Astyanax mexicanus: one gene and its partner. Each later gene encodes a partner of the first gene's protein in a complex. Links are inferred from orthologs where the notes say so. Each region holds a gene or a part of one and is shown on either strand. Other genes may lie near its edges. The genes, in order: gnat1 and pde6gb.

Region 1 (15,894 bases):
GAAATATGGCAATGAATACTCAACATTAAAATCCACAGCCCTCCGCTGGGCTACTACAGGACATGTTTCCAGGGCGAAGGTCACGTGGATCTGGATCCAGACGCATGCTAGCAATGTCCGTGCTACGAATAGCATTTCCGTGTCTGCTGTCCTCAGAGCAGCCGAAGGAAAAAAGACGATTTACTGCTCCTCAAAGCATGCTGATCATCACACAGATCTAAAAAAAAAACAAAGAAATAAAGCAGAAAGGAGAGATGAGTTTCATAAACAAGCATCATTACCATAAAACAGGAAATAGTAGAAGGATATCGAATAAAACACACTCAAAAGTGTCATGATTCCAGAATACAATTTGGTTCCATAGGAGACATTAGTGCTTGTCAAAAAATGAGAATTTCATTGGAAAGTTATAAAACTTTATTTCAGTAATTTAGTTTAAAATGTGGTTAACACTTTACTTGGATGGTCCATTTTATGGCCTTGTTGATGCTCAACTGACATTCAACTAACATTCAACTGAATCTATATTAAATGCAACTTAAACTATGTTGAATGTAAAGGATTTAAAATAGAACATAACCCTACACTTAACCCTAACCTTAACCCTTAATCAACCCTAAAATCATTAATCAACCACAAAATTACAAAATTACAAAATGTGAAACTCCTATATTATTTAGATGTATTACACACAGAGTGATCTATTTTAAGTGTTTATTTATTTTATTGTTGATGATTATGGCTTACAGCCAATAAAAAAAATCTGTATTTTAGAAAATTAGAATAATATATAAGACCAAATGATACTTTTGTCAGTGTGGGCAGAGTGCCAAGTCCTGCTGGAAAATGAAATCCATAATCCATCTCCATAAAAGTTTCAAAAGTTGTCAGTAGCAGAGGGAAGCATGACGTGCTGTAAAAAATTGTGGGAAAACAAAACTGCACTGACTTTAGACTTGATAATAAAACACAGTGGATCAACACCAGCAGATACACTAGTATATGTAAGTGTGAAAAACCTGTACATCAAATGGAGGTTCTTCCATTGCATTTCCTTAAGAATCTGCTGTATCACCATTATTTTAAAGAGTGCACTGGAATGTAGAGTATTTTTGAATTTAGATTTTTATATATATATATACATACATATATTATTTATTTTTTTTAATTCAGTGTTTTGTCATATTGCCAAGAGTATCGTTATCGCAGAAATATCGCCCACCCCTATTTGATATACTAACCAGGATTCAGGTATTATAAAGTTACTCTCAGCAGCAACAGAAACTAATTCACACTTTCTACATATTTTACACTGAAACCAGGGAGTTACCCAAAACACAGAATAGAGGTGACCCCCACCCAAGTGAAGATAGCCTGAGGGGGGATACTAACATTCAATGGAGCGTGAAGTGGGTTAGACACGCCTAGTATTCATATGGATCAGGCCAGGAGCCAATAGGAAAGTTCTGAGATTTACTCAACTGTAGGTCGAGTACAGGTCACCGAAAGTCACTAAATCAACACAGCTGACGCAGATTTACTCAGGTAGACTTCTGAGAAACATTACTGCACAAACCTCAGGTTCCAGATATCAGCAAACGTTACAAGAACGTTTAGCAATGTTTAAAAAAAGGTTTCAGAAAAGTTACAGAAATAATGTTCCAGGAATATTCTTATAATAACTTGCGACTTAATATTAGTTTGCATAACAATGGTGGTCATTACAACATTTCTTACAAAACATTCCCAGCTACATCCAGTGTTGGGAAGGTTACTTTTAAAATGTAATCCCTTACAGATTACTGATTACATCACTCAAAATGTAATTTGTAACGTAATCAGTTACATTACTTCAAGTGAGTAACGTAATCTGATTACTTTGGATTACTTTAAATATTGTCATTTTTTTAAGCCTGAATGAATGTAGCAACCACATATTGCATATTATTATTTTATTTTTCTTTCCAGTTAACAAATAGATAAACAAATAAAACAGCCTTTTCAATCACTCTATAAAAATACTTATGAAACCATTTCATCAAACAATTTTATAAAACACTTCTATAAATTGATAAAACCATTTAAAACCAAACAATGTAACAACAACTGTAAGCTATCTATTTGCAGGTTTGCCTCCAGTGTTAATTTTGACAACAAATTTTGATTTAGTCTTAGTCATAGTCTTGTGACGAAAATAGTATTTAGTTTTAGTCACAATTTAGTCATCTGAAATGTTTTTAGTTTTAGTCGACTTAATGTCATAAGAATATAGTCGACTAAAATTACAGTAAATTTAGTCGACTAAAATGTAAAGGGTGTAAATGTAAATGATTTTTCATCAGTTTCCTTGAATTATTAACTATACACTTATATGAAATGAAACGTTTAATAACCACTTGAGTAATATTGTTAATGTTTGAAAGTGAAATATATTTATATATGATTTAATGTATATTATTATTATTATTGTAGGTGTGTGACTATACATATGTTACATTTAAAAATTTGCTCTAGAAATCAGGTCATAAAACAACTGAATAGTTAAATTAAAGTTTAAACAGAGCTGTAGATGCAAAAACAACTTTTAAAGGATCTAGTTTTATCTCCAGCACATCTACTGGAGCTACAGTCTATAAATGAGATCAAAACAAACATTCACACACTGTCCTGTAGAGATGCTCTCAGGATGTACTGAGAGACTTCATGAGTTAAAGTGAGAAACTTATGAGAAAGTGCTGTAAGGAACTTTACACAGACTTTTGGGTTCATAGATTCACTTATTTTATTGTTTTATTTTCGTTGTATTATTGAGTTCCTTTCTGACCTGCTGCTGCTTTAACACTAGCTATATCTTTCCCACTGTGAGACTAAACAGATGATCTGATCTTAATGAGTGAGTTCTGTATCAGTTCTGTGTTTTAGTGCACTGCTGAGTTAAACACCATCAGCTCATGAAATAACATCAGCATTAAAACGCGGATCTCTGCATGGAGATCTGTGTGACTCTGGTCTGCAGAAGCTGAAAGATTAGTGGTGTTTTTACCGGAGATGGAGTCTCTGTTTACACATTATCTTGTTTTTCGCGACGTCAAAGGAGAAATATATCGCCTCTCCCCTCTCTCTCTCTCTTCCTGCTGAACACTGTCGAGTTAACTTCCAGTCGAGCTCCGTAACGACAGGTTAATTCCCGGGTTTGTAACTGAGCGCGCGGCGCCTCCGCTAAAGTAGCAGTGATTGGATCTCTTCCTAACTGGTCCCTACCTTTCACAGAACTATATCAGTCTGATTGGATTTCGTCCCTGCCAAACATTTTCGTCTCGTTTTTATTCGTTGACCAAAATGTCAGTTAATTTCGTCTCGTTGTGTGTGCGGAGCCGCTGTCTGCCCCTCCTCCCTGTATGTGTGTGTGTGCAGCGAGACGGGAGGAGGGGCAGACAGTTCCCTGTCATATCAGAGCGATTTCACCCCAAAATGTTATTTGCGTTTTGTCAGTGTTGGATTGGAAGAGCAAAAATAGGAAAGTACCGCAATGTAACCCTTTTATTTTAGCAGAGTAACTGTAATCTGATTACCACTTACTGAAGCAGTAACTGTAACGGATTACAGTTACTCATAATTTGTAATCTGATTACGTAACGCCGTTACATGTAATCCGTTACTTCCCAACACTGGCTACATCAATACTAACATTATAGAAATATACTTAAAACTAAAAAAAAAACATTAACATTAGTGATGTTGCAGCTACATTGCCAGACTATTTAAAAATGTTAAATAAATATATACTAAGAATATCCAGAAAACTTGAGAAAATAAGAAATGGCTGAAATAACAAAAAAAGATGCAGAGCTTTCAGAACTCAAATAATGCAAAGAAAACAAGTTCATATTCATAAAGTTTTAAGAGTTCAGAAATCAATATTTGGTGGAATAAACCTGTTTTTTAATCACAGTTTTCATACATCTTGTCATCATGTTCTCCTCCACCAGTCTTACACACTGCTTTTGGATAACTTTATGCTGCTTTACTCCTGGTGCAAAAATTCAATCAGTTCAGTTTGGTTTGATGGTTTGTGATCATCAAAATGATATAATTACTATTTCTTAATTATTATTTAGTCAGTTGTAATTATTGTTTTTAAATTAATATAAGCATTAAAAAATGTAAAAATACATTTTAAAAGCTTTTGCAGATGAGTTGTAGATTTTAAAATAGAAAAGGGAAGTTGCAGAGTTTTACAGCTTTTGTCTACATGCTGTAAAACTAATTTTAGCTAGAAAAAACCTAAATCAATTGAGACAAAAACACTATGAAAAGAGTACATGAGTGCAAACAGTGTGGTGTTATATATCAAGTATTCATCTTAAAATTACAGAGATTCTTTTTTTATTTTAGATAGGTCAGTGTAGGTTTTTTTTTTAGTTCCTATACATAAATAAACCATACTATATAACTGTATGTTTAGTTTAACCACTTTTTTGCATCACTGAGGTTATCAAATTATTAAGATATAAGATCAGTAGGAAGCAAAAATCTGCAAAAATATATATTTTTGTGCTTCTTTGTTTTTTATTTTTATATTTAAAAATTATATAATTACTTGTTTCTTAATTATCATTTTAGTTCGTTTTAATTGTTTTTCAATTAATTTAAGCATTAAATATATTAAGCATTTCAAAAGGTTTTTGCAGATAAGTTGTAGATTTTTTCAAAATAAAGGAATTTATAATAGAAAAGGGAAGCTGAAGAGCAGAGTAAATTTAGCAGCAGTGACGGGGTTAATGCTGCTTTTGCCTACATGCTGTAAAACTAATATGAGTTAAGAATTGAGACAGCTAATGCAGTTTATTAACTCAATAATTTGATGATTGCAAACGATTACATATCAAGTGTTATGACAAAGCTGAGCACATTCATTCATACACATAAACTGTTTTTATCTTAAAATTACAGAGATTTTTATTTTTATTTTAAGTAGAACAGTAATTAAAAGTCATAGTTTTTTAATAGTCAATATATTTTTTTGTTCTTATACATAAATAAACCATGTTATTTAACTGTATGTTGGGTTTAACCACTTTTTTAACATAAGCAAACACAACATACAGTGTTTTTATCCTTAAAAAACAAGGAATCATGTTTTAGTACAGTTCAGAATGCGTGGGAAAAATCAGGATATTATCTTGGCTGCTCTCTGTAAGAGGAATAAATATGATGTATTGATTTTTCCACTAATGGATCTGAGGACGTTTTCATTACAGGACTCTGAGTGTCCACTTCCTGTAATCACTGCCAAGACCATTACATCAGAATTAAAACAACACAGAGCCCAGCTGTCCTTACACTGTAAAAACCTAATAAAAATAGTTTATTTCTATAATAAAGGTAAATATTAGCTGAGTATTACACCGGATATTAGCCTAGCTTTACCTGTACAGAGGCCTATATGTTGTTACCTGAACTGCAGGTTATGATCAACTGATTAACTTTAGATGGTTTAAATGCTTTAAAAAGGCGAGTAAATATATGTAAAGAAGATAAACTAGGCTAAAAACTAAAACTAAACTGTATTTTATCAGGTTTTTAACCTTCATATGAAGCGTAAACGACTTTAACACACTTTAAATAAAGGTAAAGCAGCTCAGGTGAGAGCATGCAGGTGAAAGAGCATGAAGTTTACCTGAGGAACACCTCTCTGACAGGAGCGTCGAGGTCTTTACTCACTAATTCCACCGCAGTCTTCAGTAAAACGCAGAGAAATCCTCCTGTTTCTGCGAGAAAAGCTCTGAAACTCGCTGAAACTCCGCGGTTCTGTTTCTTTAAGCCTCAGAAGCTCGAGCTCGGTTCTGGTCCACGCCTTGACTGATCTTCATGAGGAAGTGCTGCAGCTGATTGCACAACCTCAGCTCCAGCCCGGAGTCTCGCGCTGAGAAAAAATACTGATCTACACAATTACAGCTTTTAAAAACCACAGGAAATCACTTTACTGCACAACTGAGCTTCATTACCTGCGGTCCTCCCTCAGGTGTGATATAAACAGAAATAAAGTCACCAGTTAATTTTTTTTTACCTGACCGTTTGATGTGGAAGCCCATTCTTAAAATTATTATTTAGTAAACTGCTATCTCAATATTTTGAGAAGGTAAGTCATTATTTTTAGATAGTAAGTCATTATTTTGAGATACTATCTCAATATTAAAATAAAATAATTATTAATGAATTAATATATTATTAATTAATATATTTCTAGATTTTCAGACCTTTTTTATCTTGTAAAAAGTAGGTTAGATTATACCATCAGATTTTTATTACAAAATGCATAAATTGTAAAATCAGAAAACTAAATAGATTTTTTTTTTTTCATGTACAGTATATCTGATCGTGAGGAGCAGAAATTAAAAACTTAAAAATTGGCAAAATAATTGAAAACCCAAATTCATCTTTAATATAATTTTAATATAATACAATTATCTATTTTCAAAATAGAAAAATCTGCCCATCCCAATTTCAATTTCAGAAAAAATGAAAAAAAAAAATATATATATTTTAATTTTAATTTGTTATTTTTATTTATCTTGTTTTTTTGACCTTTCATTTTTTTTCTCTCAAAATGTTTTCTCTATTAATAATCAGATATTTTAGATTCTTAAAAGTAGCACCATTGCTTAGATAACACTTTTAAGTATTTAGGTTTGTTTAATTCTTTTAAGTTACTACATGATTCCGTATATGTGTTTATATATATATATATATATATATATATATATATATATATATATATATATATATATATATATATATATATATATATATATATAAAGATACAAGAGAGTAAAACTAAAAGGATAAACAAAGATATTAAACAGAGTATATGTACAATATGTATATTAATATACAGACACACACACCAATGCCTGTATTTATACACAAAGGTAGGCCATAATAAATAAGGGAAGGCTTTTTTCTTAATTTTTATTTTTAAAAAAATTCTGGGTTTTTTTCTTACAAAAAAGAAAAAAGTAGGTTGGATTATACCATCTGTATTTTGTTACAAGATGCAAAAAATAGAAATTCCAGCAGTTCTCTAGAAATTAGAAATATAAGCTGGGTATTACATCGGATATAAGTCTACCTTTAGAGACAGACGGAGGCCTACCTAAGCTGAGCTATATTAGCTACTATGATTTAAAAGGGCAAGTAAAGAAGATAAACTAGATATTTTTGCATGTTTTAAAACCTTTATATGTTTTTTTTTTTTACTTGTTTGTCTATTTAGTGCAGTAAATAATAAATAGCATTTTATCTGTTTTCCCATTGTCTTGTTTTTCATGTCTACTCCTTAGCTAAATAAAGAAAACATTTATTTTAAGAAATAAAATGAATGTCAAGCGCTACCACTATGATCGGGAGAATGCTGGTTCGAATCCCAGTCATGCAGCTTGCCATCAGCTGCTGGAGCCTGGAGAGAGAACAATTGGTCTTGCTCTCTCTGGGTGGGTACAGTAGATGGAGCTCTTTCTTTCCCCTCATCACTCCTAGGGTGATGTGGATCAGAACAAGGCTGCGTCTGTGAGCTGATGTATCAGAATCGAGTCGCTGCACTTTCCTCCGAGCGTTAGCGCTGTGATGCTACTCGGTAATGCTACATCATCAGCAGCAGTTCAAAAAGAGGCGGAGTCTGACTTCACATGTGGAACAACTGGCCAGATAAATTGTATTGTAATGTATTTTAAAAATGCATTTAGAAAGAAATGATGTTAAGTCGATCTGAAAAAAATTAAGAACTTTTTTTTATTCCGCCCCAGGAATGAAAGAGCAAGAGTTTCCTCTGTTGTACAGGATAAGTTAATCAGAGTTACCAGCCTCAGAAACCGCAAGTTAACAAGAGTATTTTGGTTTGTTTAACACTTTTAAGTTACTACATGCTTTCTTATGTGTTTCATCATAATATCTAAATCAATTTCACTATTAATTTACTATAAGAACGGTTCTGCAGTGTATTTGTAATTTCAGGCAGGAATGGAAACATAAGCGTCTCTGGTTTGAATCCAGATTATGTTAAAGATCTGAACACAGTTCTGCTCTTTCATGTATATGGATTAATGGAAGGCTGTAAACAGTGAAAAGGCATAATTCACACGTGGGCACGGCATTCAGGCACAGCCCTCACTGCCTCATGGAATAATTAATTCTTGTCTTATATCGTCACTGACGCACACTCTCACCAATCCGTGTCATTCCAAAACACACACACACACTCTCTCACACACATACACACACTTACACACAAACACACGATATCCGGTATGTGTCACTCCTTAGATTGAGGTCAGTAAGCTCTCCAAAGCAAAACTCCAAATCTTTTAAGAGCTTCGTATCACATGATGGATACAACACAAACTGTGCTAAACAGCAGCAGAGGAATATTTTACGCTGCAATTTTTTTAACCCTCCTATTATGTTTGGGGTCAATTTGACCCCAATCAAATGTTTTACACCTTTAAATAAGCAGTTAATATCATTTTGTCCACTTCAAATTCAGTGACTTTTCCTAATTTAATGGGGACAACTGGGTAAATATTAAATTAATGTGATGTAATGTGAATGTTTTGTGTGTGCTGAACACAGGCTGTTTTAGCTGTATAAAACATAGAAATATAGAAATATCAACATTTTACACACATTTGTGTTGAATAATGTTTGAACTTTAAACTTTAGAGGCCTAAAATAACATGATTATATCTGTATTAGTGCAAGAACCACTGAAAGTTCATTGCAACAGGGGGGCGGGGAAAACATAATTCTCACGAAAAGTTGATATTTCTGTATCTGTGGAGGAATATATTGTTCCTACAAACATATTGATAGTAGATTTTTTTTAAAAAAACATAAACTTGGGTAAAAGTGTTATTATTATATAATAATTTTCCGTAGTTTAAAATTGCTGGGGTCAAATTGACCCCAAACATAAAAGATGTTAGTAAATTTGAATGCAACAGGAGTGTTCAGGCAACAATTTTAGTATTTTTGACTTATCGCATTTTATATTAAAATGTGACCGAAATAACTCCATCAAAATTAGCTATACCTTGGTGGATGTTCATTCATAAGGGTTTCATTATACTTACGAGAGTTCACAGTATCCTGGGTGTAAAAAACGAATATAAAAAAAATAGTTTAAAAGGTTAAATGAATTGCTAACAAAGTCTAAAAAATGGGTTTTGTGTTGCATTGAGTGACCCTGCTTTTCTTACCTGGCATAACAGTGTGATTACATTTTTTGTGAGTGGGAGGGACTTGATGGGGTTTAAAGTGGGGGATTTTGGGAAGGAAGGAAGAAGGAGGAAGGAAAAGAGAACAAAAAAATACATTTTGGGCTGGATCCCTTTATTTGGTTTTGTACATTTGTTTAGTCTATTATTCCTGTGCTTTTATGCTTAATGTTGTTAACGCTTTTCTTTTTGTTATTCATTGGATTTGTCTTGTTTCTCTACCTTCCTGTTTTTTTTTCCTCTTCTCTAACTTTCTCAATAAAAATAAATTTGTGCTACATATATATATATATATGCTATTTATATATATACTAAAATATGCTATACTGCCCTTTTAATAGGATTACCATGACCAGACCAAGAAGTTTGGCATATCCAGTATACAGCTTTAAGTCAAGGGAACAGCCTAGTGCAAAATCCCAAATTTTAGCATTATAGTCATTATGGCCTTTAGTAAAATGTGTTTTGGGGAGGGGGGGGGGGGGGGGGGGGTAGTGCACTCTAGGACTCTGTGGGCGTGGCCTAAGCTTTTCTTTTTTTTAATGTATTTATTTTTTCTCTTTACATTACTTTTACTTTTATACTTTAAATAGTTTTGAAACCAGTACTTTTTTAAACACTTTTACTTAAAGAGTAAAAAGCTTGACTTGATACTTCTACAACTTCTACGGAAGTATTTTAAGTATTTTAAGTACCTTAGTATCTATACTTGCACTTGAATAATGAGATATAATAATGGCGCTCCTCACCAGGCCTCCTCATCTCTCTAAGGCTCGCCCTTTTAATGTGGCTGAGAGGACTCGCCTGAGATTAGACCCTTCTGCTGACCACAGCATCTTCTACCTAAATCTGAGGTCACCTGTGTCCCCTCCCGCCCAGTCGCCCTCCGTCCTTGTCCTTCATTGGTCACGCTAGCCCAGGTGGTCAACCGAAATCCCAAATCCTCCTAAGACTCGAAACAACTGGTTGACTCACCTTATCCAGTTGAAGCTAGAGCTGCTGCTGTGGTTCACGGTTCCTGGCCGGTGCTTGCGGCGATCGAGCGGTTTCAGTTCCAGGCTTCTTCACTCTTGATCCAGAGGTGATATGGGGGCTGGAGCGAGCGCCGAGGAGAAACACTCCAGGGAGCTGGAGAAGAAGCTCAAGGAGGACGCCGACAAAGATGCCAGGACCGTCAAGCTGCTGCTACTGGGTAAAAACACCATTGGGCCCACGATTGAGCCTTGAGTAACTCCGTAGATTTAAACATGAACAGGGCAAGAGCTTTAATCATGGGCGGATCTACCGGGGTGGCATAGGGGGGCAGCTGCCACCTAAAAAGGCTAAACACCCTAAAAGAAAGCCTTGCCACCCATGCTGCCACCTCAGAATTAAAAGATAAAAATATTTCATTATGGCCAGTTTAACCTTTTATGAGAGAGAATATCTAAAGCCAGACTGCAGTAAATTATAACGAAATAAATTAATTGTGAAAGCACGGTGCTAGTATAACTGCGATGCTGATTATTTTGAGCTTATAAAACATCTATAAAAATCTTATTTTGCTCACTATAACATGTATTGTTTGCTAAAGGTCAAGTGATGTCAGGTACTTAGTGACGCATTACTGTAATCTGTCCGTTTCTCCAGTAATGATAAATCTAACACATTAGTATGTCCAATCCAGTAATCAGATTAAAGTTACTTGTTTAAGAAAGTAACTGTGCATTAATATTTTTATAATTTTCCTCAGTACATTTCTCTGTTTGAGTTTGTAAATGGTAGCCCGTGGCCATATATATATATATATATATATATATATATATATATATATATATATATATATATATATGCCACCCCAGAAATATTTTTCTAGATCTGCCCCTGGCTCTAATGCAAAAATCATGCCTTTTTTGGAGTGTAGAATATTCATATTTCAAAGATTGAACATTTATGGTTTGCTGTTGGTCTTGGTTCTTGGTAACATCCTGATGAATTTGGATTAAATGTATATTGAATGAAGATCATGTTGAATGAACCACTGTTATAATAGTAGTATAGTGAAAGCAATCTTAACTGAAATTCTTAAATCCTTTGAATTCAATGTAAAAAAAAACTCTATTTTTGTTTGCATGTAAATATTAAGAAGAAGAAGAATCATCTGGCCAAACGTTTGATTGGTTTATATTGGTTCATTATAATATTAAATGAAGATTACCTAATTATAAGAAAACGTTTGTCTCCATCTCTCATAACTGCATTTTTAAACAGCTTGACTAAACTAGTCTTAGATCTGGGTCAGCGTCCTCGCATACATCAGCTTTAACAGGCTTAGGGGCTAAAGTAATGAACCCCAAGCCTCTTAATGCGATCCTCCTCAAGATATGCACACAGGACAGGAGGATGATTTCAGGAGAACATACCAAACATACTGGAGAGGGGAGGAGAGGAGCGGGTGGAGTGGAGGGGAATGGAATTCTCCACACTGGAAGAAAGCCAGCATTAGTGTAGATTTTGTTATGGGATTGTGTTATTCACAATTCTTAATCTAATTGAATGAATTTGCCAGTTTTAAATCAACAATAATAATCTTGATTTACAATTAACATGCATAATTTACCACTGACAAATGTTGTGTTGTGTCTTTACTGTTGGAATACTGAAAACAGATATCTTAACAGTGTAAAAGAAAGCATATAAAATGAAATAAAACAAAAAATTAGCTAATTTAGAAGCATGAAGAGCTGTTGGCTTGGCATTGTTTCTACATAAATGCTTTTTCAAGTCAAGTCAAGTATTTTTATTGTCAATACTGCATATATACAGGACATACAGAGAATTGAAATTACCTTACTCTCCTTCACAATGTTACAGCAAAAAAACCTAAAGCGATAGTATTTAAAATATATAAATAACATAAGAATTCAATAGACACTATTGCACAAATCACAAATATAGACATAGACGAGACAAGAGACACAAGAGACACAAGATAAACGTGCAAAAGTGATGGGGGGGATTAAAGAGGTAAAGACAGTACCAGTATAAACAGAACCCATATAAACATTAGTGCAAATATAGAGGTAATAAAGTTTTGTTAATATAGGTTAGCTGTAGCTAACCCTGGGACGTATAATTAAGAGCATTAAAAGTATGTTTAAATTAGGTGAAGAATACTAAAAGTACATTTTCTATGTAATATATTTTATGAAAATACACATTAAATATACTCTGTACATTAAATGTACTCTATTTCTCTGCATTTACATAAAATGTATCTTTATGCTATATACTTTAAGTTATATATGTGTTGATTGAAAATATATATGTAGTGGAGCTTATACTTATACTTGTCCCTGTGGTGGACTGTATGTGGATGAAACCTAAAAAAAAATATCAGTCCATTTAATTTTATTTCAATTAACTTAAATTGACAAATTTCCTTCATGATCTATATTTATATATTTATCCATCTATTCAAACATTTCAATCAGGGAATTTGTAATGATATATTTGGTACAGTGCTGCCACCTGCTGCCATAAAGAAATGGCATCGCTTATAAAATAAACATTAAATACTTGACACTAATTGAATCATGCTGAATTATTTATTAAATGTATTACATATATTAAGTTATACATTTACGTGACAATATCAAAACATATCTCAAGTTTTAAGTTACGAATGGCAAATACAGTATATATTTCAACTACATAACTACAGCCTAGCACACATACAGTGAGTATGAATTTTAGTAAATACAATAAAATACGCAATATGAATTTTTAAACTATATATTTGTGGGTTTGCAATTGAATAGAATTAATTGAACTTAATTGGTTTGTATAATCTATTTGTCAGGTGCTGGAGAGTCAGGAAAAAGCACCATTGTCAAACAGATGAAGTAAGTGTTATTTTATTCAACTTTAAACCTTTAATGTTTCAAGTAAAACTTTATTGGATGGTTGATTTTATGGCCTCGTTGATGCTCAAATGAATGTATATTAAATGCAACTTAACCCTACACCCACACCATTAACCAACCCTAAAATCTAACCCTACACCTAACTCTAACCATCAATCAACCCTAAAATTTAACCCTACACTTAACCCTAACCTTAACCCTTAATTCACCATAAAATCTAACCCTACACCTTACCCTAACCTTAACCCGTAATCAACCCTAAAATCTAACCCTACACCTAACCCTAACCTTAACCCTTAATCAACCCTAAAATCTAACCCTACACCTAACCCTAACCTTAACCCTTAATCAACCCTAAAATCTAACCCTACACCTAACTCTAACCATCAATCAACCCTAAAATTTAACCCTACACTTAACCCTAAACTTAACCCTTAATCAACCCTAAAATCAAACCCTACACCTAACCCTAACCTTAACCCTTAATCAACCCTAAAATCTAACCGTACACCTAACCCTAACCTTAACCTTAATCAACCCTAAAATCTAACCCTACACCTACACCTAACCCTAACCTTAACCCTTAATCAACCCTAAAATCAAACCCTACACCTAACCCTAACCTTAACCCTTAATCAACCCTAAAATATAACCCTACACCTAACCCTAACCTTAACCCTTAATCAACCCTGAAGTCTAACCCTACACTTAACCTTAACCTTAACCATCAATCAACCCTAAAATCTAACCCTGCACCTAACCCTAACCTTAACCCTTAATCAACCATAAAATCTAACCCTACACCTAACCCTAACCTTAACCCTTAATCAACCCTAAAGTCTAACCCTACACTTAACCTTAACCTTAACCATCAATCAACCCTAAAATCTAACCCTACACTTAACCTTAACCATCAATCAACCCTAAAATCTAACCCTACACCTAACCCTAACCTTTACCCTTAATCAACCCTAAAATCTAACCCTACACCTAACCCTAACCCTAACCCTTAATCAACCCTAAAGTCTAACCCTACACTTAACCTTAACCTTAACCATCAATCAACCCTAAAATCTAACCCTGCACCTAACCCTAACCTTAACCTTTAATCAACCCTAAAATCTAACCCTACACTTAACCCTAACCTTAACCTTTAATCAACCCTAAAATCTAACCCTACATCTTACCCTAACCTTAACCCTTAATCAACCCTAAAATCTAACCCTACATCTTACCCTAACCTTAACCCTTAATCAACCCTAAAATCTAACCCTACATCTTACCCTAACCTTAACCCTTAATCAACCCTAAAATCTAACCCTACACCTAACCCTAACCTTAACCCTTAATTCACCATAAAATCTAACCCTACACCTAACCCTAACCTAAACTTTAAATCTAACTCTAAACCCTAAAATCCCTAACTCTAAAATGTTAAGATTAGAGTTTGGGTTAAAGTTAGATGTTGGGTTTCATTTAATGGAGAATCATGTATTTTTACCTTTTAGTTCAATTGCATTTAATAGACATGCAGTTGAATGTTAGTTGAGCTTCAATGAGGCCATCCAATTGACCATCCAATAAAGTGTTACCATTATTTAAATAAATTACTGTATTAGCACCAGACATTTAATTTAAACATGTTTTTCTACCACAGAATTATCCACAAAGATGGTTACTCCCTAGAAGAGTGCTTGGAGTTCATTACCATCATCTACAGCAACACCCTGCAGTCTATTATGGCCATCGTGAAGGCCATGACTACTCTCAACATCGGCTACGGAGACGCCGCCCAACAGGTACTGATATAATAAGAGACCAATTAAAAATGATGAGTTTCTTTGATTTTACCAAATTGAAAAAAACTCTGGAATATAATCAAGAGGAAGATGGATGATCACAAACCATCAAACCACCAAACTGAACTGCTTGAATTTTTGCACCAGGAGTAAAGCAGCATAAAGTTATCCAAAAGCAGTGTGTAAGACTGGTGGAGGAGAACATGATGCCAAGATGCATAAAAACTGTGATTAAAAAACAGGGTTATTCCACTAAATATTGATTTCTGAACTCTTAAAACTTTAAGAATATGAACTTGCATTAACTTACACTCTTTGCATTATTTGAGGTCTGAAAACATCTTTTTTGGTATTTTAGCCATTTCTCATTTTCTGCAAATAAATGCTCTAAATGTTCATTTTACTTAAATATAAACCTATAAATAGCTAAATCAGAGAAACTGATTCAGAAACTGAAGTGATTATTTTTTCCAGAGCTCATTTTGAAGCAATGAATCAGTTTCTCTGATTTTGATATTTATAGTTTTATGTTTGAGTAAAATGAACATTGTTGTTTTATTCTATAAACTACAAACAACATTTCTCCCAAATTCCAAATAAAAATAATCTCATTTAGAGCATTTATTTGCAGAAAATGAGAAATGGCTGAAATAACAAAGAGAGTTCAGAAATCAATATTTGGTGGAATAACCCTGGTGGTTTTTAATCACAGTTTTTTTCATGCATTTTGGCATCATGTTCTCCTCCACCAGTCTTACACACTGCTTTTGGATAACTTTATGCCACTTTTATGCTCTGCATCTTTTTTTGTTATTTCAGTCATTTCTCCTTTTCTGCTATAAATAAATGCTCTAAATGACAGTATTTGTATGTGGAATTTGGGAGAAATGTTGTCTGTAGTTTACAGAATAAAACATT
Region 2 (15,727 bases), on another chromosome or scaffold:
ACATTCTAATTTTTGCATTAAATGTATGCAATTTACAGAAAAACACACGTGCTGGTGACCATGGTGTTTCTATGTGGTTTCTAAGGTGTTGCTAGGTAGATGCAAAGTTTTGCTATGGTGTTTCTATGGTATCTGGGGTGGTTGCTAAGGTGTTGCTAAGGTGTAGCTAGGTGGTTGCTAAGGCTTTGCTAGGTGGTTGCTGAGGTGTTGCTATGGTATCTGGGGTGGTTGCTAAGGTGTTGCTAAGGCGTCGCTAGGTGGTTGCTAAGGTATTGCTATGGCATCCGGGGTGGTTGCTAAGGTGTTGCTAAGGCGTTGCTAGGTGGTTGCTAGGGTGTTGCTAGGCGGTTGCTAAGGTGTTGCTATGGTATCCGTGGGGGTTGCTATGGTGTTGCTAAGTGGTTGCTAAGGTGTTGCTAGGTGGTTGCTAAGGTGTTGCTATGGTATCCAGAGTGGTTGCTAAGGTGTTGCTAGGTGGTTGCTAGTGTGTTGCTAGGCGGTTGCTAAGGTGTTGCTATGGTATCCGGGGTGGTTGCTAAGGTGTTGCTAGGTGGTTGCTATGGTGTTGCTAGGTGGTTGCTAAGGTGTTGCTATGGTATCCGGGGTGGTTGCTAAGGTGTTGCTAGGTGGTTGCTAGGTGGTTGCTAAGGTGTTGCTTGGCGGTTGCTAAGGTGTTGCTATGGTATCCGGGGTGGTTGCTAAGGTGTTGCTAGATGGTTGCTAGGTGGTTGCTAGGGTGTTGCTAGGTGGTTGCTATGGTATCCGGGGTGGTTGCTAAGGTGTTGCTAGGTGGTTGCTAGGCGGTTGCTAAGGTGTTGCTATGGTATCCGGGGTGGTTGCTAAGGTGTTGCTAGGTGGTTGCTATGGTGTTGCTAGGTGGTTGCTAAGGTGTTGCTATGGTATCCGGGGTGGTTGCTAAGGTGTTGCTAGGTGGTTGCTAAGGTGTTGCTTGGCGGTTGCTAAGGTGTTGCTATGGTATCCGGGGTGGTTGCTAAGGTGTTGCTAGATGGTTGCTAGGTGGTTGCTAGGGTGTTGCTAGGTGGTTGCTATGGTATCCGGGGTGGTTGCTAAGGTGTTGCTAGGTGGTTGCTAGGCGGTTGCTAAGGTGTTGCTATGGTATCCGGGGTGGTTGCTAAGGTGTTGCTAGGGTGTTGCTAGGTGGTTGCTAAGGTGTTGCTATGGTATCCGGGGTGGTTGCTAAGGTGTTGTTAGGTGGTTGCTAGGTGGTTGCTAGGGTGTTGCTAGGCGGTTGCTAAGGTGTTGCTATGGTATCCGGGGTGGTTGCTAAGGTGTTGCTAGGTGGTTGCTAGGGTGTTGCTAGGCGGTTGCTAAGGTGTTGCTATGGTATCCGGGGTGGTTGCTAAGGTGTTGCTAGGTGGTTGCTAGGGTGTTGCTAAGGTATCCGGGGTGGTTGCTAAGGTGTTGCTAGGTGGTTGCTAGGTGGTTGCTAAGGTGTTGCTAGGTGGTTGCTAAGGTGTTGCTATGGTATCCGGGGTGGTTGCTATGGTGTTGTTAAGTGGTTGGTAGGTCATTCCTAAACAGTTGCTAGGTGGTTGCTAAGGTGTTGCTATGGTATCTGTGGTGGTTGCTATGGTGTTTCTAGGTGGTTGCTAGGTGATGTATATGCATAAATTAGATTAAATGGTGTTTGCACGTTGCTACGCAACGTGCAAATACATCAATCAGCTATGCACGCTAGGTTGCTTTGGCCGTTCGGGGGTGTCCAAACTTTTGACCCGCGGCTCAATAAGGTGTTGCTAGGTGGTTGCTAGGTGGTTGCTAAGGTGTTGCTAGGTGGTTGCTAAGGTTTTGCTATTGTATCCGGGGTGGTTGCTATGGTGTTGCTAAGTGGTTGGTAGGTCACTCCTAAGCAGTTGCTAGGTGGTTGCTAAGGTGTTGCTATGGTATCTGTGGTGGTTGCTATGGTGTTTCTAGGTGGTTGCTAGGTGATGTATATGCATAAATTAGATTAAATGGTGTTTGCACGTTGCTACGCAACGTGCAAATACATCAATCAGCTATGCACGCTAGGTTGCTTTGGCCGTTCGGGGGTGTCCAAACTTTTGACCCGCGGCTCAATAAGGTGTTGCTAGGTGGTTGCTAGGTGGTTGCTAAGGTGTTGCTAGGTGGTTGCTAAGGTTTTGCTATTGTATCCGGGGTGGTTGCTATGGTGTTGCTAAGTGGTTGGTAGGTCACTCCTAAGCAGTTGCTAGGTGGTTGCTAAGGTGTTGCTATGGTATCTGTGGTGGTTGCTATGGTGTTTCTAGGTGGTTGCTAGGTGATGTATATGCATAAATTAGATTAAATGGTGTTTGCACGTTGCTACGCAACGTGCAAATACATCAATCAGCTATGCACGCTAGGTTGCTTTGGCCGTTCGGGGGTGTCCAAACTTTTGACCCGCGGCTCAATAAGGTGTTGCTAGGTGGTTGCTAAGGTGTTGCTAGGTGGTTGCTAAGGTGTTGCTATTGTATCCGGGGTGGTTGCTATGGTGTTGCTAAGTGGTTGGTAGGTCACTCCTAAGCAGTTGCTAGGTGGTTGCTAAGGTGTTGCTATGGTATCTGTGGTGGTTGCTATGGTGTTTCTAGGTGGTTGCTAGGTGATGTATATGCATAAATTAGATTAAATGGTGTTTGCACGTTGCTACGCAACGTGCAAATACATCAATCAGCTATGCACGCTAGGTTGCTTTGGCCGTTCGGGGGTGTCCAAACTTTTGACCCGTGGCTCCATTACACACAGTACTCGGGGGCCGGGGTGTCCAAACTTTTGACCCGTGGCTCCATTACACACAGTACTGGGGCTCTGGGGTGTCCAAACTTTTGACCTAATGCTGTTTTATCCCATAGCTGCTCCATTACACACAGTACTGGAGTTCTAGCTACCTGTCCTTCGATCTAGCTGCCGTCCTCCGATTGGCCCCATTCATTCCAATGGGGCCACTTCGTACGACAATCGTACGAAATCCGTACGTCGTAACTTTTCGTAACGCATATTTTCGGAAAGAGCTCAATAAGTTCTACAGGTCCTCAATTGGTTTCATCTTCGTATCTCAAAAATTGCGACGTCCACGGGCGTGCAAAGTTCTGCCCATTCATTTTCAATGGGCAAAAAAACGCGTACTTACGAAGTTTTTACGAAAAACGTAAGTCCAATCGGAAAGCTGTATACAAGCCCACCATTCCCGATATGGACGCACGTTTTCTCTTTTGAACGAAGTCGATATTTCGAAAACTGCGGCACTAGTTAACCGGACAAAAAACAGGTGGAACTAGATTGCAGTTCCTACAGAAACTGCGAGTGTGATTGCAGAGCTGACCGGGGTACCCAAACTTTTGACCCTTGGCTCCATTACACACAGTACTGGGGCTCTGGGGTGTCCAAACTTTTGACCCGTGGCTCCATTACACAGTACTGGGGCTCTGGGGTGTCCAAACTTTTGACCCGTGACTCCATTACACACAGTACTGGGGCTCTGGGGTGTCCAAACTTTTGACCCGTGGCTCCATTACACACAGTACTGGGGCTCTGGGGTGTCCAAACTTTTGACCCGTGGCTCCATTACACACAGTACTGGGGCACTGGGGTGTCCAAACTTTTGACCCGTGGCTCCATTACACACAGTACTGGGGCTCTGGGGTGTCCAAACTTTTGACCCGTGGCTCCATTACACACAGTACTGGGGGGCTGGGGTGTCCAAACTTTTGACCCGTGGCTCCATTACACACAGTACTGGGGGGCCGGGGTGTCCAAACTTTTGACCTAATGCTGTTTTATCCCATAGCTGCTCCATTACACACAGTGCTGGAGTTCTAGCTACCTGTCCTTCGATCTAGCTGCCGGCCTCCGATTTGCCCCATTCATTCCAATGGGGCCACTTCGTACGACAATCGTACGAAATCCGTACGTCGTAACTTTTCGTAACGCATATTTTCGGAAAGAGCTCAATAAGTTCTACAGGTCCTCAATTGGTTTCATCTTCGTATTTCAAAAATTGCGACGTCCACGGGCGTGCAAAGTTCTGCCCATTCATTTTCAATGGGCAAAAAAACGCGTACTTACGAAGTTTTTACGAAAAACGTAAGTCCGATCGGAAAGCTGTATACAAGCCCACCATTCCCGATATGGACGCACGTTTTCTATTTTGAACGAAGTCGATATTTCGAAAACTGCGGCACTAGTTAACCGGACAAAAAACAGGTGGAATAATAATAATAACTAGATTGCAGTTCCTACAGAAACTGCGAGTGTGATTGCAGTGCTGGCTGGTATCTGCTATGGTGTTGCTAAGGTGTTGCTATGGTATCCGGGGTGGTTGCTAAGGTGTTGCTAGGTGGTTGCTAAGGTGTTGCTAGGCGGTTGCTAAGGTGTTGCTATGGTATCCGGGGTGGTTGCTAAGGTGTTGCTAGGTGGTTGCTAGGTGGTTGCTAGGTGGTTGCTAGGGTGTTGCTAGGTGGTTGCTAAGGTGTTGCTATGGTATCCGGGGTGGTTGCTAAGGTGTTGCTAGGTGGTTGCTAGGGTGTTGCTAGGCGGTTGCTAAGGTGTTGCTATGGTATCCGGGGTGGTTGCTAAGGTGTTGCTAGGTGGTTGCTAGGTGGTTGCTAGGGTGTTGCTAGGCGGTTGCTAAGGTGTTGCTATGGTATCCGGGGTGGTTGCTAAGGTGTTGCTAGGTGGTTGCTAGGTGGTTGCTAGGGTGTTGCTAGGCGGTTGCTAAGGTGTTGCTATAGTATCCGGGGTGGTTGCTAAGGTGTTGCTAGGTGGTTGCTAGGGTGTTGCTAGGCGGTTGCTAAGGTGTTGCTATGGTATCCGGGGTGGTTGCTAAGGTGTTGCTAGGTGGTTGCTAGGTGGTTGCTAGGGTGTTGCTAGGCGGTTGCTAAGGTGTTGCTATGGTATCCGGGGTGGTTGCTAAGGTGTTGCTAGGTGGTTGCTAGGTGGTTGCTAGGCGGTTGCTAAGGTGTTGCTATGGTATCCGGGGTGGTTGCTAAGGTGTTGCTAGGTGGTTGCTAGGTGGTTGCTAGGGTGTTGCTAGGTGGTTGCTAAGGTGTTGCTATGGTATCCGGGGTGGTTGCTAAGGTGTTGCTAGGTGGTTGCTAGGTGGTTGCTAGGGTGTTGCTAGGCGGTTGCTAAGGTGTTGCTATGGTATCCGGGGTGGTTGCTAAGGTGTTGCTAGGTGGTTGCTAGGTGGTTGCTAGGGTGTTGCTAGGCGGTTGCTAGGCGGTTGCTAAGGTGTTGCTATGTGATCCGGGAAGGTTGCTAAGGTGTTGCTAGGTGGTTGCTAGGTGGTTGCTAGGGTGTTGCTAGGCGGTTGCTAAGGTGTTGCTATGGTATCCGGGGTGGTTGCTAAGGTGTTGCTAGGTGGTTGCTAGGTGGTTGCTAGGGTGTTGCTAGGCGGTTGCTAAGGTGTTGCTATGGTATCCGGGGTGGTTGCTAAGGTGTTGCTAGGTGGTTGCTAGGTGGTTGCTAGGGTGTTGCTAGGCGGTTGCTAAGGTGTTGCTATGGTATCCGGGGTGGTTGCTAAGGTGTTGCTAGGTGGTTGCTAGGTGGTTGCTAGGGTGTTGCTAGGCGGTTGCTAAGGTGTTGCTATGGTATCTGGGGTGGTTGCTAAGGTGTTGCTAGGTGGTTGCTAGGTGGTTGCTAGGGTGTTGCTATGGTATCCGGGGTGGTTGCTAAGGTGTTGCTAGGTAGTTGCTAGGTGGTTGCTAAGGTGTTGCTAGGCGGTTGCTAAGGTGTTGCTATGGTATCCGGGGTGGTTGCTAAGGTGTTGCTAGGTGGTTGCTAGGTGGTTGCTAGGTGGTTGCTAGGCGGTTGCTAGGCGGTTGCTAAGGTGTTGCTATGTGATCCGGGAAGGTTGCTAAGGTGTTGCTAGGTGGTTGCTAGGTGGTTGCTAGGGTGTTGCTAGGCGGTTGCTAAGGTGTTGCTAGGCGGTTGCTAAGGTGTTGCTATGGTATCTGGGTTGGTTGCTAAGGTGTTGCTAGGTGGTTACTAGGTGGTTGCTAAGGTGTTGCTAGGCGGTTGCTAAGGTGTTGCTACGCGGTTGCTAAGGTGTTGCTATGGTATTTGCGGTGGTTGCTAAGGTGTTGCTAGGTGGTTGCTAGGTGGTTGCTAAGGTGTTGCTAGGCGGTTGCTAAGGTGTTGCTATGGTATCCGGGGTGGTTGCTAAGGTGTTGCTAGGTGGTTGCTAGGTGGTTGCTAAGGTGTTGCTAGGCGGTTGCTAAGGTGTTGCTATGGTATCCGGGGTGGTTGCTAAGGTGTTGCTAGGTGGTTGCTAGGTGATGTATATGCATAAATTAGATTAAATGGTGTTTGCACGTTGCTACGCAACGTGCAAATACATCAATCAGCTATGCATGCTAGGTTGCTCTGGCCGTTCGGGGGTGTCCAAACTTTTGACCCGTGGCTCCATTACACACAGTACTGGGGGGGCCGGGGTGTCCAAACTTTTGAGCCGTGGCTCCATTACACACAGTACTGGGGGGCCGGGGTGTCCAAACTTTTGACCTAATGCTGTTTTATCCCATAGCTGCTCCATTACACACAGTACTGGAGTTCTAGCTACCTGTCCTTCGATCTAGCTGCCGTCCTCCGATTGGCCCCATTCATTACAATGGGGCCACTTCGTACGACAATCGTACGAAATCCGTACGTCGTAACTTTTCGTAACGCATATTTTCGGAAAGAGCTCAATAAGTTCTACAGGTCCTCAATTGGTTTCATCTTCGTATTTCAAAAATTGCGACGTCCACAGGCGTGCAAAGTTCTGCCCATTCATTTTCAATGGGCAAAAAAACGGGTACTTACGAAGTTTTTACGAAAAACGTAAGTCCGATCGGAAAGCTGTATACAAGCCCACCATTCCCGATAAGGACGCACGTTTTCTCTTTTGGACGAAGTCGATATTTCGAAAACTGCGGCACTAGTTAACCGGACAAAAAACAGGTGGAATAATAATAATAAGAAGAAGAAGAATAAGACTTAAGAAGAACAATACTGTGATTGCATTACTGCAATCACACTAATAAGAATAAGACTTAAGAAGAACAATACTGTGATTGCATTACTGCAATCACACTAATAATAATAATAAGAAGAAGAAGAATAAGACTTAAGAAGAACAATACTGTGATTGCATTACTGCAATCACACTAATAATAATAATAAGAAGAAGAAGAAGAATAAGACTTAAGAAGAACAATACTGTGATTGCATTACTGCAATCACACTAATAAGACTTAAGAAGAACAATACTGTGATTGCATTACTGCAATCACACTAATTATATAGAGTAAACTTTACCCAGCTAACAAGGAATATTTTAAAGACAGTTAGCAATGTTGTAGCAAAAGTTGCAGGAAGGTTCACCTATAATGTTACAGAAATAATGAGTGATAATGGTTTGCATCACAATGTTATTACAAAACTTTCTTACATGATGTTCCCGGCTGGACGAATACTAACATTATACAAAAACAAATAAGAGGGGTTTTACAACTTATGATCAGTTTCTCTGATTTTACTATTTATAGGTTTATGTTTGAGTAAAATGAACATTGTTGTTTTATTCTATAAACTACAGACAACATTTCTCCCAAATTACAAATAAAAATATTCTCATTTAGAGCATTTATTTACAGAAAATGAGAAATGACTGAAATAACAAAAAAGATGCAGAGCTTTCAGACCTCAAATAATACAAAGAAATCAAGTTCATATTCATTTAGAAACAACAATACTAATGTTTTAATATAATCAAGAGGAAGATGGATGATCACAAACCATCAAACCACCAAACTGAACTGCTTGAATTTTTACACCAGGAGTAAAGCAGCATAAAGTTATCCAAAAGCAGTGTGTAAGACTGGTGGAGGAGAACATGATGCAGAGATGCATGAAAAAAAACTGTGATTAAAAGCCACCAGGGTTATTCCACCAAATATTGATTATTTCTGAACTCTTAAAACTTTATGAATATGAACTTGTTTTCTTTGCATTATTTGAGGTCTATTAAGTTTGATATCTAAACCAAATTTACACTATAGAAATAATAAACAGTGAAATATAGGGGGTGGGTAGTTACATGCTGCGTCATCAAAAAATAAAATACATATTTATTAATAAAAATGTACACACACACACACACAACACACTCACATGTCCATCCTCCGCACTGATAGGGGATCAGGGGTGGGCGGTTCCCCTCTCCTAATCTGCGGTTCTGCTGAGGGTATAAAAGCTCCATCAGTACCAGAACTTCTCCCAGAGCAAGCCCAGCATACACGCCCACTCCTCCACCCACCAGAGAGACCTACACACGGGCAGCGCCCACACCACGCCACCTAACCACCAATCAGCTGGAGCCGTGAGTACAACCCCACCCACTACATCCAACAATTACTATACTGAATAATAACTACTGATATAAAACATATATATACAAATAAGGAATAGTAGGTTAAATGTAACAACTATATGAACAATTTAATAATACTCAGGACTGTATAATGCAAAATGATAAAGTAAAATTTTAAATTTATACAGCTCTGAAAAAAAAAAACTTAAAATTTGATTTTACCAAATTAAAAACCTCTGGAATATAATCAAGAGGAAGATGGATGATCACAAACCATCAAACCACCAAACTGAACTGCTTGAATTTTTACACCAGGAGTAAAGCAGCATAAAGTTATCCAAAAGCAGTGTGTAAGACTGGTGGAGGAGATTTTTTTTAGGTCTGCAAGCTCTGCAACGTCTCTGAAAGCCATTTCTCATTTTCTGTAAATAAATGCTCTAAATGAGAATATTTTTATTTGTAATTTGGGAGAAATGTTGTCTGTAGTTTATAGAATAAAACAACAATGTTCATTTTACTCAAATATAAACCTATAAATAGCAAAATCAGAGAAACTGATTCAGAAACTGAAGTGATCTTTTAATTTTCTTCCAGAGCTGTATATTGAGTATTAAGTCAGACATTCTATGGAATGTGAATCAATAAACAGAATTCTGGAACTCTAAATAAGTTTCTAGCAATCTACGAAATAATGAACTAAAATTATGTGGTAGCAAGTAAAACTCTAGAATGTTTTGTAATATGGAATAAAACAGAATTCTAGAACTCATGACATTTTGACATATGGAATAATTGGCAAAATTCTAAAATATTGACAAATAAACAGAATTCTAACTAAAATGGTAGCAAATAGGATTCTAGGATTTCTGGAATACAGAATAATAAGTGAAACAGTACACAGGACTGTAAAGTAAAATTTAAAAATGTAATTTTAAAATGCAGTAGTATGTTATTTACTGTTCACTTTGAGGCTGACTGTCGAAAATAGTTAGTATTTAGAGTGTTCTGAACAAGGCTCTGTTATTTTTTTGTAATATGGATAGTAAGTATTTGTAGAACACAGAATACAGAGTACAGAGTACAGAATGGTGAGTATGTTGTAGCATGGTGTGGCGTATACAGTAGTGGGTGATTTACTGTTCACTTTGAGGTTGACTGTTGAGAATTTTACTATATTATTATTTAGAGTGTTCTGAACACTGTTAAAGTACTATGTTCTGAACATAGTGAGTATTTTGTAGAGCGTTGTGAAGTGTAGAGTATAGATTAGTGAGTATTTTGTAATATAGTGTTGAGTATACAGTGGTGGTATAGTGAAGGTCTCGACCAAATGGAAAATGAGATAATTATAGATGGATCAGTGAGTCACGGAGCTCTGCAGATCCACGTGGATGAGGGGATTTCAGCAGATTGAAGAGTTTGGGTTCTGCTGAAGTCACTGTCAGAACCAGAACACAAATCACACTGATTAAGAACCATAACCATTTATCTGGAAAAATGGTTATGAAAAATCGTTTCCTTTACCCAGTTACGTTATTTTTTGAGAATAATATATAAAAAATGTTTTTATCTGTCTTGGAACAAATCTTTGTCTCTAAAATAACAGCTTTACAGATTTCCTCCCTGAGTGGGGATTAAATACTGTAATTAATGGTGGCAGCGTGCCAACACGCCCATCCCTGCAGCGTAGAATATATATCTACAAACAGAGTAAACAGAGTGGCCTCTAAGTTTTGACAGTATTTCATATATTAGAATTTCAGAATTTCACAGAGCAATTTATTTACATTAATCTGCATTAAAAGCAAAGTAATCAAAGTACTCCAGTAATTTCCACATGCACTGTGCAATTACACAATCTTTTCACTGAGAGCTCTAATTACTCAAATCTGTTACTCTAAGTCATTTTTGAGCATTTCTATTTTTCCAAAACATTCACACCATGCCAAAAAGTGAAAAACTGAGAAAAAATGATTTTTTTTGCATGGCAAGATGGAAAAAAAAGAGTAAAAATACATGTTTATAGTTTATAGTTTTAGAGTTGATGAAATGCTGGCTTAGGTAACGTAGGCCTAGGCCTCATATTAAGCCTTAAATGACACTTGAATGTTATGTGCTTCGTTATATTTCAATTACATTTAATTACATTACATTTCTACACAGCATCCAATGAATTTAAAAATTAAAATTAAAATAATGCCATACATTAAAGCCATAAATATATTTAAGATACAATCAATTTATTGTCATGTTGAGTGACATTGATTACTTTGCTAATTCGCCAATGACACACAAGCTATTAGGCTAAACCAAAAGTAGAAAAATGATACAGCATAAGTTAAGACTAAAGAAAAAAAATAATCTATAATCTATATATTTATGTTTAAAAGGAACTCTAGGCATTGAAAAAAATATTTAAAAAGTGTGGCTGTGTGTTCATCATTGTAAGATACTGTATGGAATATTAAATATAAAACAGAATTCTAGAAAAAACTCTGAAAAAGTAAATATGGTTCTAGAAATCGGAAAATAGAATAATTGAACAGATTTCTGGAACTATGGAATAAGAAATAAAAATTCTGGAACTCTTTGTAATATGAAATAACCAACAGTATTAAAGTTAAACTCTAATGAATAGTTAGTAAATTGGTATATTAGTGTATATTCTGTACTGAGCCGTACTGAGTGCTGGATTGTGTGATTGTCATTGAAGCAGCTCTGTTAAGGACGTTTGTTTTTGACTCAGAAGTTTTCTGTGAGCTCAGCATGTTCACTGTTGTCCTTTCACTAATGAGATTATCACGAGTCCCTTTCACCAGCTCTGGGATACGGGTTCACTTATTAACTTGAGCCCTGGATTATATAAACTGGGTCACCCCTGGCATCCATCCACCCCCCCCCCCCACTCCCCCCTCACACACACACCTCCACTAAAACACTGCTATACACCTGTGTTACTCACCTGTAAGAGGATTATGGGTAACGCTCCGCTGAACTGAGGCCATGGAGAAACAGCTTACAGGCCATATGGTACCAGTGTGATGCTAATTTTAGTTTAGCATGGCTCTGAAAACTTATTCACTTTATATTTAAATGTATCTCATAATATCCCATAATAATCCATAATACATCACAAGTTAAAGCAGCAGGTCTTACAAGGAGGGTTAGGTAATCTATATATCCTCAATAACTGTATATAAACACAGAAAGCTACAGCAGGTTAGATAATCTATATATCCTCCAAAACTGTCTATGAACACAGAAAGATACAGCAGATTAGATTATCTGTATATCCTCCATAACTGTCTATAAACACAGAAAGGTGCAGCGGGTTAGATAATCTATATATCCTCTATAACTGTATATAAACACAAAAAGCTACAGCGGGTTAGACAACCTATATATCCTAAATAACTTTATATAAACACAGAAAGCTACAGCATGTTAGATAATGTATATATCCTAAATAACTTTATATAAACATAGAAAGATACAGCAGGATAGATAATCTATATATCCTAAATAAATGTTTATAAACCAGGCTTTTATGCTTTTTTATTCTAGTAATATTAACCTCTAGTCTTTTAGTTTAGCGCTCTTATGCTAGTGGGTGGTTACCTCAGCGTGCTAACTCTAAGCTAGTCTTTTATCTTAGCGGTCGTATGCTAGTGGTGGTTACCTCAGCGTGCTAATGCTAAGCTAGTCTTTTATTTTAGCGGTCGTATGCTAGTGGTGAGTTACCTCAGCGTGCTAACTCTAAGATAGTCTTTTAGCTTAGCAGTCGTATGCTAGTGGTGGTTACCTCAGCGTGCTTATGCTAAGCTAGTCTTTTTTAGCTGGTGTGTTTCAGGTGGTAAACAGTCCGTCTGTGTGGGTGAGGGGAATGTAACTGAGGAGAAAAGTATTATTTCTTCAGTTTATTAGCGTAGAGTTTAATAATGAACTTTAACTTGGTGTTTATTGTGGTTTTGCTCTGTTAGCTACACTGCTAACGCTAGCTACACTGCACTGGGAGAGAGAATGGCTGATGAGGAGAAACTTCCTTACCTACAAAACTAATTACTACCTAAATACACTATTTATACATTACATTTATATAAATATCTGGAGATATTTAGTTAACAATTTTGTGAGTTTGGTGTAGGAGTAACAGGTATGTCCATAGCTAGAACTCTTTGCAATATGGAATCATCAACAGAATTAAAGTTAAACTCTTTGGAATAGTCAGTAAATTGGTTTATAAGTGTATGTCTCGTACTGAGTTGTATAGCTAGTTTAGCGTTATTTGGTAAAATCTTACACAGATTAAGTTGTTTCTTTTGCTGAAGAGTTGTATTTTTATAAACTATATGTTCAGCTACTAAATGAAACCACAACTGAAAGTATAATATACATAATACATTTTTTAAATGTTGAAAATTTTGATTAATTTTTTTAAATTGTGATAGAGTCAGTAATTGAATGCAGTAAGAAGAAAGTTATATTTTTTCAATGAAAAAAGATTATATTTCTGGTAATTTTACAGAATTTCTTTAGACTGTGTAAGGGACAGTTTGAGTGTTCAAATTATGTAGAAAACAAAAAATTGTCAAAAACGGAGGTACTTGTGTTTCATTGGACAGCAATGATATAAACACTGGAGAGGAGAACCTGAGTGTGGAACATCCATCGGTATCGGGCCTCAGAGGAAGGCAAAAAGATGGAACTAGGTTAGATTGGATTTATGGAGAACAGATAATATCCAACATTATCAGAGTGTTACTAATGAATATAACAGTGTAACGCGGGAACCAGACGAGGGGCGGACGTAAATGCGGGTAAGACCAGACAAATAACAAAGAAACAAATAAACAAACAGGGGAATAACGGATATAAATAGGTGCATAAACAAACAGGGAAAAAACGTGAAACAGATAATAACAAAACAGGGCGAGGAAATATATACAAGGGATAAATACGTAAATATATACAACATAAACAAAGAAACAAACAGGAACTAAACGTGACTAGAAATAACGTGACCGATAACCAAACAAGAAAACAAACTAGAAATATACAGGGAATAAACGGAGATAAATACAAAACGAAGAACTAGAGAACGTGGAAATAACTATAGCGAACGTGGCAAGACAAACAACGGGGGAAGGTGCAAAGACCGACAGCAAACGTAGACTAACAAGTACTATTTATACTAAACATGAAACAATGAACACCTGGGGAAACAGGTAACGAGGGGCGGAGCTACAAATTAGAAACACATGTGGAAAAGTACTGAGACGGGAGACACAGGGGAGCACAGGTCACGTGGGGAATGCACACAGAGACACGAGACGAGGCCAAGACGTGACAAACAGCCTAACTAAAATATGAGAACCAGAAGGTAACATAGACACGGAGGCACTGGCCAGCAAGCTACTGTACATTTAACAGTGATATTTTTTTATAGTGTATAATTTTGTATAATGTTTTTTTCTGTCACATTTTAACCCAATCACCTGTCTCTCTCTCTTTTTCTAAACAGATTTCTACATTAGCCAGAGGTTAAACTCAACCAATCAACAAAAATGACTGGTGACACCGAACACATACCACCCCCCATCCCAGTGGCAGCTCTGAATGTAGAGCAGCCCAAATCAGACATCAAATCTGCCACCCGCGTCTCGGGCGGCCCGGCTACGCCACGCAAAGGCCCGCCCAAATTCAAGCAGAGGCAGACCCGACAGTTCAAGAGCAAGCCCCCCAAAAAGGGCATCCAGGGGTGAGTACACCAACCCATCATCTCCACACAAACAAAATAAGTGCTAGAGCTACTGGAATATGTAATTAATGAGTGACGCTATAGAAGGTGAAGTTAGTTGAAGTACCATTCAATTCACAAGTTCTGTGAACAACCTTTTGCTTGTCTATTATTGAGCAATAGCAATAGATGATAATGTAAAACACAAATATGCCCATTATACATATTATTACAGCAACAGAAAAATAATAGATGTAATCACGCTATGCCAATTTTGATTGTAGTGAGGAAAAAATCAACTAATCTATTATTATGATTTAAAAAGTAGAAGCCTGTTGCAAAAATGTTTTTATATAGTCAATAATATCTGACCATATATTAATGGCTAAAAGTTCTCAAAAGTCTAGTGCATGATCATAATCATCATGAATTGCAATTGACACAGTTAAACCAAAATATAGTTTTCTTTGCATCTGTAAAATTCACTAATTTAAAAAGAACCGATAGAGGTTAATTTATAGCACTAAATAATGTAGTATACCAATAGAACTTGAACTTCTGAATGTAAAACTGTGCCTGGAGGGTAAAAACTGTCCCAAAACTGTGAATGGGTTCATTGCACTTAAAGAGTAATGAACCTTTGATAATGAAAATTATTTAATACATTGGAATTGTAATGTAAAAGTGTTTAAATATCCTACACTAATAAAACATACACATACAAAAAATAAAGTATAAAAAAATAAGTTTCGTCACTATATGCTTTTAAAGATGGTCCTGTGCGAAACCCAACCTGATTGTGCCATCTCTACCAATCAGCAGAGATATGTTAGGCTAATAAAGTCTTATAGAGAGTGTTATGTCTTAATACAGTAGGGCTTTTTACATCTTATAGTAATTAGTCTTTTAAAAATATACCAATTCTATTTACTGAAGCCTAAATAAATAAACAACCAAAAAACAACTTAAAATAAAATCTACCATTGCTTCTTCCTTGATAAGGATGTTAAGGGTTTTTAGTGAACCATTCACTTTTCGTAATTTTCATACCTTTGAAAGTCACTATAAAAACAGAATATTATTAGATTTTTTTTTATTATTAGCATTTCTCTAAAGAACTCTTTTGGTCATTGTTATATTAAAACACGTGTATAAAGTATGTTAGGGTTAAGTAAAGACTGTTGTATATATTTGGACTCATGTCCTGATCTGTTCTTCTGTTTGTCCCCTCAGTTTTGGAGACGATATCCCGGGAATGGAAGGTTTAGGCACTGGTGAGTGTGATCCTTTCTTTTTTCCTTCATCATCATCATCATCATCATCATCATCTTCTCTCACGTGTGGTTTAGTATCATCTCTATTAGCGTCATCCAGAATTTATTCTTAGCTGTCCTTGGGTAGTATTACCGCTTATTGTCACAGCTTGTCATAAACGTTACCGCTCAGATTAAACCGGCTTGGCAAGCAGCTTAACCCAACCAGCACAAGGCTCTTCAGCAGGAGTGCCCATCAGTAATCAAATTTAGACCAAGTCTAAACCAAAAAGTGCAAAAACTTTGGTCTTGGAGGTACAAAATGGTATATATAAGATAAATTACACGTCTTACAAGTCTGTCAACTTTTGGACACAGCTTCTCATACAA

The links.
Region 2: the proteins of gnat1 (region 1) and pde6gb are in contact, whole or in part, in a cryo-EM structure (PDB 7JSN), measured with the Bos taurus proteins. The link is inferred for Astyanax mexicanus from reciprocal best matches to the Homo sapiens genes GNAT1 and PDE6G. Residues at the interface, in NP_851365.1 of Bos taurus: Ser140, Arg201, Arg204, Lys205, Trp207, Ile208, Phe211, Asp227, Val229, Glu235, Val236, Asn237, His240, Glu241, His244, Leu245, Ser248, Ile249, Ile281, Phe283, Glu305, Leu306, Met308; in NP_776846.1 of Bos taurus: Arg36, Gln37, Phe38, Lys39, Ser40, Lys41, Pro42, Pro43, Lys45, Leu60, Val66, Ile67, Cys68, Pro69, Trp70, Glu71, Phe73, Asn74, His75, Leu76, Glu77, Leu78.

The regions. Positions count from the first base shown.
Region 1 is NC_064412.1:3,451,920-3,467,813, reverse strand, and holds the start of gnat1 (guanine nucleotide-binding protein G(t) subunit alpha-1), read left to right. Parts: upstream 1-10,244; 5' UTR 10,245-10,358; coding exon 10,359-10,464; intron 10,465-13,113; coding exon 13,114-13,156; intron 13,157-14,834; coding exon 14,835-14,976; intron 14,977-15,894. Other genes in the region: mst1ra (macrophage-stimulating protein receptor), read right to left, coding at 1-135. UniProt on the Homo sapiens protein: Functions as a signal transducer for the rod photoreceptor RHO. Required for normal RHO-mediated light perception by the retina.
Region 2 is NC_064422.1:46,537,855-46,553,581, forward strand, and holds the start of pde6gb (phosphodiesterase 6G, cGMP-specific, rod, gamma, paralog b), read left to right. Parts: upstream 1-8,240; 5' UTR 8,241-8,356; intron 8,357-12,964; exon of another isoform or gene 12,965-13,056; intron 13,057-13,868; 5' UTR 13,869-13,911; coding exon 13,912-14,105; intron 14,106-15,317; coding exon 15,318-15,358; intron 15,359-15,727.